3 linked regions of the Sus scrofa genome follow. The protein of the gene in region 3 binds, or shares a complex with, the protein of the main gene of each other region. Links are inferred from orthologs where the notes say so. Each region holds a gene or a part of one and is shown on either strand. Other genes may lie near its edges. The genes, in order: ERCC2, POLR2G and GTF2F2.

Region 1 (3,645 bases), on a different chromosome or scaffold from region 3:
TTCTGACACAGGACTGAGGGCCATGTTATGATGTTCATTTTACAGGGAAGGGGACTGAGGCGGAGTAGAGGGTCACTTACCAGCGTCACAGCAAGGGCAAAGCCACATTAACCAAGTAGCAGGGCCTAGGCCATAAGAGCCTTTCACACCCACTATTTCACTAACCCCCCCTACCCAACCCCCTTAGGAGGGCAGGGAGGGGACATTCCCATTTCACAGATAAGAAAACTGAGGCTTGGGGAGTCACAGTCAAGCCCAGGTCTGGCTGAATCCAGAATCCATGCCCTTAGCTGTCAAGCTCTCCTGCCCTCGCTCCCGTCTCCCTCCCTCATCTCCTCACCCTCCCCACGCACCATGGGGCAGAGGCAGACCCGGGCCAACGTCATGGTAAAAGTTGCCATGGTGACGGGGTGGAAGTCCAGGATCTTGGGGTAGATGTCTAGTGGGGACAGCGTCTGTAGCAGGGACAGCAGGAGGGATCTTAGCAGGACTGGGCAGGAACCAGGGTACCCCCACCCCAGGTGGAGGGCCAGGGCCTCACCCCAGATGTGATGATGACAGACTGGAAGCGCTCAAACACGGGTTTGATGGCCAGCGAGGCGTCCATGCAGCTGTGAGGAGCAGACAAGGGTGATGGGGCCAGGCTGAGGAGCGGGGGCCGCTGTGGTCCATTCATACCCTCTCTGGGGTCAGGTCTCACCTGAAGTGCAGGACGGGGTTGGCGATGGTTGGGGTCCTGTCGTCAAAGGGCTCGATGATGATGGTGAAACCTACAGGGGGCACCAGTCATGACCATGCCCACTCGGCCACCCCCCCACCCCCAATGTCTCCCTCCACCCCAGTCCCCCCTGCCCACCTTCCTCGGTGAATGGGACCAGCTACCAACAGCCCAAACCCCAAACCCACGCACCTGAGTCCAAAATACACCCCAACCTGCCCGCTTCTCCCCAAGGCCGACACCTGTGCAAACACGCCCAGGGGACCCTAGGCCGGGAGCACAAAGGCTCACCCTCACTCTCCCCTCTCCGCCACTCGAGCCAAAGCCTCGAGCTTTCTCCCACCACCTCTCTAAGCCATCAGGAAGCCGGCCAGCTCTACCTCCAAAGTCTGCCCTCTGACCCCTTCCCCCAGCCCCTGCCCAGTCCGGCCATCATCCCCTTCTGCCTGGACCACTGCGCTGGCCTCTCCACTCCCAGCGGCCAGGGGGACCCTGGAAATCCTGAATCAGGTCACATCTCTCCCCTGCTCAGAAGCCCCCCACAGCCCCCCAAACCCCTCCCAGGGTCCGGAACTGTCTGTGGGGTCCTTCCACACCAACCCCATTTCCTCCATTCTCCTGGGCCTCCAGCCTAACTGCTCAAATCACCAAGCTCATTCCACCCCGGGGTCTCTGCACTGGTCCCCCTGCCCGGAAAGCTTCCCAAGCTGGCTCCATGCGGTCATTTGCAACTCAGCTCCAATGTCAGCTTCTCAGAAAAGCCACCCCGGCCACTGCAGGCATTGCTCCACCATGGAGACATGTTTGTTTCTCATGAAAACAACCACTTCCTGGAATTAATTCCTGACTTGTGTTTGCATCTCTGCTACCTGTCTTCTCGCTAGAATATAAGTTCTGGGAGTCAGGAATGAGGTCTTTCTGGATTCCTGCCACTTGGCCCCAGTGCCGGCCTGGCCCACTTGTTGAACAAATACATGAATGAATGAATCCACACACCTTCACTTAGTAAAAATTAAAACAACCCAAAATCAAGTCTTTTGCACCTAAGCCTATGCTGGAGATGCAGCAGGACTGAAACAGCCCTGGTCCTGCCCTCTCAGGGCTCACAGTCCAGTGATGGGGACACTGACCTGTCCCGTAGAGTGACCTCTCTGGGTGGGGAGGGCTGGGACAGGGCAGCCTAGAGGAGAGGGCCTGATCCAGCCTGGGGGCCAGAAGGGGCTTCCTGGGGGAGGAGGGGGCTTCTCTCCTGAGCCAGGAACTGACGGGTGAGGTGGCGGCAGTGGGGGCAGAGGAAGAAGACGGGGAGGCTGTTCCAGGGAAGAGACTGCCAGGGGGGAGGGAGGAGCGAGACAGCCCAAGGGAAGACAGGGTGAATGGAGGGATGGACGCAGCAGGCGGCTTCCAGGGGACTTGCCGCTGATCGACCTTGGGATAGGGGGACGGCCGTCACCCCCCGCCAAGGCCCTGCCCAGACCGGCTGGCCGCAGGGCGCTGGCAGGCCTGACCTAGTTTCCTGGACACAGGAGTAATCCCCGGGGATTAGGCTGAGCCCCTGGCCAGCTTAAAGCTGAGGAAGGCGAGGCAATGCTGAGCGACGAAGCCTCTGCGACGCTGCCCTGCTCTCTGCAAGCTGGCAACCTGAGCACCAGCCTCCCGGCCTCTTTACCTCCCAGGTCTCTCTCCAGCCCCGCATCTTCTCTCCTCCCGCCCTGGCCCAGCTCTGCCAGAGGAATCATTCCAAAGCACCAAGTGACCCTGCCTCTCCCCTGCATGGCACCTGCTGTGGCTCCTCAATGCCCTTGGGAGCAGACGGACCAGCTCCTTACCATGCCCCCCAGGGCCAGCTGACCCCACAGAACTTCTCTGGCCTCATGTCACGCCACCACCCGCCCCACCCTTCTTCACCCTGCAGCCAGAGAGGAGCTTGAAAAACACAAATCTGAGCACAAGGCTCGCTCACTCAAGAACTGTCTGTAGCTCCCTATTGCCCTCAAAATAAAGCGCAAACTCCGGAGCCCAGCCCTACAAGGTCCTGCTCGTCCAAGTCCCACGGGCAACCCCACGGAGATCCCGATTCCAGCTGCCGGGGCCGGCAGAGGCAGGAAGGGGCGCTTACCCTTGGCATAGGTGCTGACTAGGGTGGCAAAGTTGGCGAGGAGCGTGAGAGGGGAGAAGTCAGCAAGGTCCGCGATCTCCAAGGTGTGCAGCAGGGAGCGCAGGCGCTCGGCGCAGAATCTGGAGGGGGGGTGGGGGGGTGGAGGATGGGGTGAGGGGCGACAGTGACCAGCTCAGGCACATCCAGCAGCCCCCTCCCCTCCAGCAGAGCACGGGCCCAGGTGCCATCTCCCCAGCTGCCCGAAGTTCCATGAGGGCGGGGCCTGGGTCTGCTTCAGTCCCCTCTGTGTCCCCCACATCCCACAGGGCCACGGCCATACGAGGGCACATTCGGAGCAATAATCACACAGCTCAGAGTCACAGGGTCACGTCACAGGGGGCCACATGCTCATGAGCAGGTTCTTGGTCAGAAGGGGCAACCCACAAGCACGCCCAGAATCCCACAGTCACTGCACGAACCCCACACGGCCACATCACCATTTGCTCCCTCCCAGGTCCTCTCTCAGTGTCTCAGCCACGCTCGCCACCCTCAGCGACACAGCGTGAGAGTCCCACACACTCGGGAGACAATCTCACACACACTCCCGGAGCTTCGCACACACTGTGTCCAGCAACAGCCCGTACACAACACAGGGCCACTCAAGGCTCTCACCCTTCAGGGAGAGGCTGTGGAGCAGCAGCACGGCTTTGGTGTCAGGCAGACAGTCAGGTTTAAAACCCGCTTCCTGAACCTCCTTTCCTTTCCTCCACGGTCGACCAGGTGCCCCTCTATGTTCCCTGGGCCCCCAGGCCTCCCCCCATCCCAGCCC
Region 2 (4,270 bases), on a different chromosome or scaffold from region 3:
GGAGGTTCCCAGGCTAGGGGTTGAATCGGAGCTGTAGCCACAGGCCTACGCCAGAGCCACAGCAATGCGGGATCCGAGATCCGAGCCGCGTCTGCAACCTACACCACAGCTCACGGCAACGCCGGATCGTTAACCCACTGAGCAAGGGCAGGGACCGAACCCGCAACCTCATGGTTCCTAGTCGGATTCGTTAACCACTGCGCCACGACGGGAACTCCTGAACTTTTTTTTTTTTTAAGGGCTGCACCTGCAGCATATGGATGTCCCCAGGCCAGGGTCCAACTGAAGCTGTAGCTGTCGGCCTACACCACAGCCACAGCAACAACAGATCTGAGCGGCGTCTACAAGCTACACCACAGCTCACAGTAACGCCGGATCCTTACCCACTGATTGAGGACAGGGATCTAACCAGAGTCCTCATGGATACCAGTCAGATTTGTTACCACTGAGCCACGATGGAAACTCTCTATTATGATCAATTTTAAACATACAAAAGTAGAAGGAAACATATAAAAAGCCACAGTTTATCCATCATCTGGCTTCAACAATCATTAATACATCGCCTGGAGTTCCCCTCCTGGCTCAGCAGAAACGCATCTAAGCATCCATGAGGACTCAGGTTTGATCCCTGGTCTCGCTCAATGTGTTAAGAATCCGCATTGCCCTGAGCTGTGGTGTAGCTAGCAGAGGGGGCTCGGATGTGGGATTGCTGTGGCTGTGGCACACGCAGTTCCATGGCTACAGCTCTGATTCGACCTCTGGCCTGGAAACCTTCATATGCCACGGGTGCAGGCCTAAAAAGACCAAAAAAAAAAAAAAAAAAAAAAAAAAGTCATTGCCAAACTTGTTTCATCTGCACCGCTGCCTTTTTTTTTTTTTCAAATATTCATTTAATTTTAAGACAATTACATTTTAATAATGGCTGTGTTTAAGAATTAGCTTGCAAAATTCCTGAAATAGTAACAGTTGGCTTTTGCAGGGGCTCCAGCACACCACTGTCAGCAGGTAAGTTTGCTCTTGCAGGGAGGCTGGCTTCAAAAAGAGGGAAGGAGAGGGGTCAGGGCTGCTGTGGTCCTGGCCTCCGTTCTCTCCAGATAAGAACAGATAGTTATTATGCTTACTCTGTGAAAGCAGTCTTCAACTGTTTGCTGAATGAATATATTCTGCTAAAGCGCTTTATTTATGACGTCTCTCATTAATTAAATCCACCGTTTGAACTTCTTGTCTAGACCTGGCCTTGCTAATTTGTGAGCGTCCTGTGCTTTTACAGAGGGTGGACTGGACGAAGGGGGAGGAGCTTCGTGGATTTCCCCGCCCACGAAAACGGGGCCCAATCAAGTCCGCAGACGAGACGTGTTCCCGCCCACCTCTCTGGGGCAGGCCCGGAAGCGGGATTGGGGAGGTTGGTGTACTTCCGGTCCTGCCGGGGGTTTTGCTGCTGCTGCTGTCGCTGTTTTAAGCCTGGCTGCTCTCGGCCTGGCTGCTGTCCAGCCTCCTCCGGGAAGATGTTCTACCATGTGAGCAGGGCCCGGGGTGGCGGCAAGGGTAGGGTCGAGAGGAGGAGCGAAGCGGAAGGCCGGGAGTAGGGGGCCGCTTCTTGCCTGGTCTCCATCCCACGTTCTCCGCAGATCTCCCTGGAGCACGAGATCCTGCTGCATCCGCGCTACTTCGGCCCCAACCTTCTTAACACCGTGAAACAAAAGCTCTTCACTGAAGTGGAGGGGACCTGCACCGGCAAGTGAGTGTCCCGCTCTCCGTGCTGCCTGAGCAGTGCGCCCTCGGCGCCCGGTGCCTTCATCCCCTCCTCAAGTCCTGAAAGTTTGTGCTGTCTACCCTGGAGAGCCCTCTCACCCACCCAGACGGCCCAGGCAGTCATTTGCTTCCTGCTTCGGGTTCCCATGATGCCCTCTGCGAAGCTGGATAACGGGACTAACTTCCCTCAGCCAAGATTGGTCATTCATTTACTTTACAAACATTTCCAAATCTCCAGCTGTGTGCCAGGCTCTGTGTTGGGCCCTGGGAATAATGCAGTGAGAAAGACAGAAGCGGCCAGCTCGAGCTCATAGTCTCTTTGGATTTTGCTGGTTTTCTTTATCCCCCACGCCCAGGGACCTGTCATGGCACATTGGGCTTCACTAAAAGTGTGTTGAATGAGGGAGTGACCAGGATAAAGCAGATTGAGAGTTAGGGGGAGGAAGGAAGAGCACTGACGTTTGACCGTCTCTTTGCTCTGCACAGAGGGACCTCTCATCTGGTGATGTAGACAAACCAGGATGAGCAGGGCCATGGAGTACTTGGGGCTCCAGCATCAGAGCAACTGGGGGTGTCTTTTGAACATACAGGTTCCTGAGCCTCATGTCATCCTTACAGCATCCCCATATCTCTGGGGACAGGCCTGGGGATATGCATTTCATATATATATATGTATGTTTTTTTTTTTTTTTTTTCTTCTTTTGCTGCACCCTTGGCATGTGGAAGTACCTGGGCTCAGTAGGTTAAGTATCTGGCATTGTCATTGTTGTGGCGTGGGTTCTATGCTTGGCCTGGGAATTTCTGAATGCCACAGGCCAAATAAATTTTAAAAAGAGATTGAGGTCTCTTGGCTCAAGGACTGCAGCCCTTTTGGACACTTATTGTGAACTTATGAGATCAGCATTTGGCTTTGTAGATGCTGGTCATTGCCCTGTCTTCTCTCTTGATCATTAAGTTCTCTGGGACCAGGAGTGCCATCTACTTGCCCTTTGTGATGCCCTTTAACCCCCAGGCTCGGTGACTCTTGTGGCAGATTTTTTTTTGTCTTTTTTTGGGGGGCTGCACCTGTGTCATAGGAGGTTCGCAGGCTGGGGAGGAATCGGCACTGTAGCGGCTGGCCTATGTCACAGCCACAGCAGCGCCGGATTTGAGCCACATCTGCAACCTACACCACAGCTCACAGCAATGCCGGCGTCCTGAACCCACTGAGTGAGGCCAGGGATTGAACCTGTGTCCTCATGGATACCAGTTAGATTCGTTTCTGCTGAGCCACAACCAGAACTCCTCTTGTGGCAGATGGTTTTAGAGGCTCTTCCACACCTTTCTCTTTCTCATCCTCCCTGCAGGTATGGCTTTGTAATTGCTGTCACCACCATTGACAATATCGGTGCTGGTGTGATCCAGCCAGGCCGAGGCTTTGTCCTTTATCCAGTTAAGTACAAGGCCATCGTTTTCCGGCCCTTTAAAGGGGAGGTCGTGGATGCTGTTGTCACTCAAGTCAACAAGGTAAGTCCATCCACAGGGCAGGTAATGGGAAGTCCTGAGAAAATCTGGGATGGGCCCCAACTCTTACTTGCTAACTCTGTGTCTTTGGCCAAATCACCTCTTTGTGCTTCAGGTGTCCTTACCTGCCAGATGGCATGGGAATCTTGTCCTGCCTCACTCAGGCAGGTGTAAAATGTAAGTCAACATTAAGAGTCAAAAGAGCAGTAGCTTCCATTGATTGAATAGATCCTGTGCACCAGGTGAAGTGCAAAGCCTCACAATGACTGTGAGGCGAGTGCTTTTACCTCCGGACTGAAGCTTGGAGAAGACTGCTGGCCAAGGTCATGTGGCCGACAAGTGTTCAGATTCCAGACAGACAGGTTCGAGGCCTCAGGTGTTGACTACTACACTCTGTTAACATAAAGTGAAAGTTTGAAAAAGGAGAGATGGGGGAAAAAATATAATTGTAATGTATACATGTAAGGATAACCTGACCCCCTTGCTGTACAGTGGGAAAATAAAAAAAAAAAAAAGAAAAAGGAGAGAAAAATGAAAACAAATGCCAAATTTCAGAGTGGTTTCAAAACATGAAGACTATTATTAGGATGCAGATAAAGACGGGATGCTCAGCAGACAATGGGGACAAAAGAAAAAACTAGGTCATTCATTTCCCTTTTAGGTCGGACTCTTCACAGAAATTGGGCCCATGTCCTGCTTCATCTCTCGACATGTAAGTCCAGGCGGGCTAGGTGGGGCTAAGGAGGAGACATTCATTCCTGACCGTCTCTTTCTTTTTTGGGCTGCACCTGGAGCACGTGGAAGTTTCCAGGTCAAGGATTGAATTGGAGCCACAGCTGTGGCAATGCTGGACCCTTAATCCATTGTGCTGGGCTGGGGATTGAACCTGCATCCCAGCAGAGACTTGAGCTGCTGCAGAGATAATCCTGGATCCTTAACCCACTGCACCACAGTGGGAACTCCCCGTGACCATCTCTTGAAGCGTCCTTTTAATGTGCTGACCCAGGAGTTCCCT
Region 3 (3,645 bases):
AGCTGTGACCTACCCCACAGCTGTTGCAATACTGGATGCTTAACCCACTGCACTGGACTGGGGATCAAACCTGTGCCTTAGCAGCCACTACAGAGACAACACCAGACCTTGATCTCCTGCACCGGAGCAGGAACTCCGAGACGACTATTTTCTGACATCAGTTTACGCATCTGTTGGCATTCCAAGACACCAAAAAAAAAAAAAAAATTATCTGAGTATAGCAGACCCTTGAACAACATGGCTTTGAACTGTGTGGGTCCACTTATGTGTGGATTTTTTTAAATAGCAAATCCTACAGTACTACACAAGCTGCAGTTGTTGAATCCGAGCACACAGAACCTCGGATATAGAGGAATCTCAGATGAGGAGAGCAAGACTGTAATTTATATGTGCATTTTCAATTGTGTGAGGGTTGGTGCCCTTAATCTTCGAATTTTAATCCTCACAACAATAATGCCCTTAACATATTTCTTATGGTTTTCTTTGTAATGTTTAATGAAAATACAGCAAAACCACGGATCTTTTTCTTTACACAACCAATCAACTTTCTTTTTTTTTAATTTTTATTTTTTTACAGCCACACCTGCTGGAGAAGTTCCCAGGCTAGGGGTCGAATTGGAGCTGCAGCTGCCGGCCCACACCACAGCCTCGGCAACACCGGATCTGACCGGCATCTGTGACCTACACTGCAGTTTTCCACAATGCCAGACCCTTAACCCACTGAGTGAGGCCAGGGACCTAACCCACATTCTCACAGACACTAAGTCAGGGTCTTAACCTGCTGAGCCACAACAGAAACTCTGAATCAATATACTTTCTAAATTAAGTATGAGAAATTAGTTCTGAACCATAATTTGAAAAGACACATGCACCCCAATGTTCACTGCAGCCCTATTTACAACAGCCAGGACATGGAAGCAACCTAAGTGTCTATGAGCAGGGATGGGTAAAGAAGATGTGAGATACATATATATATATTTGATTATTAGCCATAAAAAAGAATACTGCCGTTTGTAGCACCATGGATGAACCTAGAGATGATCATTCTAAGTGAAGTAAGCCAGACAAAGACAAATACCATACAAAATCATTTATATATGGAATCCAATAAAAAATGATGCAAAAGAACTTATTCACAAAACAGACTCACAGATTTCAAAATCAACCTTACGGTTACCAAAGGGAAAACGTAGGGGGGCAGAGATAAATGAGGAGGTTGGCATTAACATATACAAACTACTACATATAAAATAGATAACTAACAAGAATCTCCTTCACAGCACAGAGAAATCTAATCAATATTCAGTAATAACCTACCTGGGAAAAGAATCTGAAAAAGAATGGATATATATATATATGTTTGACTGATTCACTTTGCTGTACACATGAAATACAACATTTTAAGTCAACTATACTCCAACAGAATTAAAAAAAGAAATTAATTTTGTTAAAATGAGGTGACCTGGCCTAAAAAGACAAAAAGGGGGGGAGGGTGGCCTGCTGCTTTCATAGTCATATTCTAAATTTAGTCAAGGTTATACTCTTGCAAAGGCCTCAAAAAAGTTCCCTCTGTATTTAATTCACAAACTGAAACATGTGCTCCCTATTCATTGAGCTGTTAAAGTATTTGAGAGCAAACACACAAAATTAAACAAAACACTTTACCCAGAGCTTCTTGGAAATCGATACCAATTAAAAGAAGTTAATCGCTATGCATTACAAACTACAGAAAGCACCCAAGAGCCAAAATCCAGACTAAAATATTCCCCAATATAAAGCAGTTTTGCGTTTGTTTTTTGGCCGGGGGAGGGGGGGGGGTGCCTGCACCTGCAGCATATAGAGGTTCCCAGGCCAGGGGTCAAATCAGAGTTGTAGCTGCTGGCCTATGCCACAGCCACAGCCACACCAGATCCAAACCGAGTCTGTGACCTATACCACAACTCATGGCAATGCCTGATTCTTAACCCACTGAGCAAGGCCAGGGATCGAACCTGTGTCCTCATGGATGCTAGTCAGATTTGTTTCCACTTAGCCACGATGGGAACTCCTATTTTGCCTTTTTTTAAAGGGCCGCACCTGCAGCATATTGAAGTTTCCAGGCTATGGGTCGAATCAGAATTGCAGCTGCCTACCCCAGCCACAGCAACAGCCCAATCCAAGCCGCGTCTGTGACCAACACTGCAGCTCGTGGCAATGCCAGATCCTCAACCCACTGAGAAAGGCCAGGGATTGAACCCACATCTTCACAGATATCAGTTGGATTTATTTCCACTGAGCCACAATGGGAACTCCATGAAGCAGTATTTTTTTAAAACACAACTTACAGTTGCTAAATATCAATTTACCAAAACAGGCACAGATGACCTTATCTTGGCAAAACTCAGAATACTGTTTCTTCAACATCCCAGAAGACAGCTTGATGCACTACACTCTTCCATCTGCTTTGTTCTATTTCTTCATGTCCCACACAGAAATTAAACCCTTTGTGTAACAGCCAAAATTCTATCAACCACAGGAAGGTATACTTAGAGCAGAGAAATACTACGATATGAATGAGAGGTAAACAGAATGATAGGTGGGACAGCCCTGGTAATGGCCTTAGAGTGTATGCTGAGCCAGGAAGTCTACACAACACATACAGGAATTGCATTAAATAATTCTATCCCTACTTACCTGATGAGCTCTCAGTAAACACTGTTAATGTCTGTCCTCCAACACTTTGCAAGACAAATGGATGTTCTCTAGGAGCACTGACTGAAGCTGGTTTGCCGCCAATATCATGAATATTTGCAAGTTCCTCATTCAAAGTAAATGACACCTAACAGACACATTAACCAGAGATTATTACAATAGACTTTTGTACTCAAAGTATCTGTACAGAAGTTCTGATTATAAATCAAATACTTTTTAAAATGTGAATCTTTTCCAGTCACTTTACGAAGCATTTAAAAGAAAATTTTCAAAAAATCTTTAATAATTACCCATAAAAAAAGAACCTATTCCCATTTGTCAGAATGATGGGGCTAGTCTACCATTATAAAGACAATTTTCAAATATTTTCTCTGGTCTATGGATGAAAAAATTCCATTTATAAAATAGAACAACTTTTTTTCCAACCATGTCTGAGGTCAGGGAGCCATGTCTTGCTATGTTTATACCCTTAAATAAATTAGATAAATATTAGATGGATGGGTAGACAGATTGATAGATCGATCCATCCATCCATCCATTCATCCCCTAGCAAACTGCACAACACATAGAAGGAAAATAGTATCTGCTGAATGAGTGAACATTTTAAGAGTATTAAGAAAGCGACTGTACTTGAAGCAGGGGGAAGGGAGCTATTTACTCAGAAAGCTTAAACACTCCCATAAGCAGAGGATGCCTTTCTTTTTTAGGTTCAAAAACTACTGTATGAGTACATGGTGCCATTTTTTGGTTTTGGTTTTTTTGTTTTTTGGGGTTTTTTTTTTTGTCTTTTTTTGTCTTTTTAGGGCTGTACCTGCAGCATATGGAAGTTCCCAGGCTAGGGGTCAGTAGGAGCTGTAGCTACTCGCCTACTCCACAGCCAGGTGGAATCCCAGCCATGTCTACAACCGACACCCCAGCACACAGCAACACCAGATCCTTAACCCACTGAGTGAG

What was found.
Region 1: GTF2F2 (region 3) and ERCC2 share a complex: the UniProt entries of both Homo sapiens proteins name them as parts of the TBP-based Pol II pre-initiation complex. The link is inferred for Sus scrofa from reciprocal best matches to the Homo sapiens genes GTF2F2 and ERCC2.
Region 2: GTF2F2 (region 3) and POLR2G share a complex: the UniProt entries of both Homo sapiens proteins name them as parts of the TBP-based Pol II pre-initiation complex. The link is inferred for Sus scrofa from reciprocal best matches to the Homo sapiens genes GTF2F2 and POLR2G.

Annotation. Positions count from the first base shown.
Region 1 is NC_010448.4:51,740,425-51,744,069, forward strand, and holds part of ERCC2 (TFIIH basal transcription factor complex helicase XPD subunit), read right to left. Parts: intron 2,957-3,645; coding exon 2,838-2,956; intron 771-2,837; coding exon 701-770; intron 612-700; coding exon 542-611; intron 456-541; coding exon 354-455; intron 1-353. UniProt on the Homo sapiens protein: ATP-dependent 5'-3' DNA helicase. Component of the general transcription and DNA repair factor IIH (TFIIH) core complex, not absolutely essential for minimal transcription in vitro.
Region 2 is NC_010444.4:9,005,727-9,009,996, reverse strand, and holds the start of POLR2G (DNA-directed RNA polymerase II subunit RPB7), read left to right. Parts: upstream 1-1,365; 5' UTR 1,366-1,505; coding exon 1,506-1,517; intron 1,518-1,628; coding exon 1,629-1,738; intron 1,739-3,098; coding exon 3,099-3,258; intron 3,259-3,916; coding exon 3,917-3,967; intron 3,968-4,270. UniProt on the Homo sapiens protein: Core component of RNA polymerase II (Pol II), a DNA-dependent RNA polymerase which synthesizes mRNA precursors and many functional non-coding RNAs using the four ribonucleoside triphosphates as substrates.
Region 3 is NC_010453.5:22,113,915-22,117,559, forward strand, and holds part of GTF2F2 (general transcription factor IIF subunit 2), read right to left. Parts: intron 2,819-3,645; coding exon 2,674-2,818; intron 1-2,673. UniProt on the Homo sapiens protein: TFIIF is a general transcription initiation factor that binds to RNA polymerase II and helps to recruit it to the initiation complex in collaboration with TFIIB.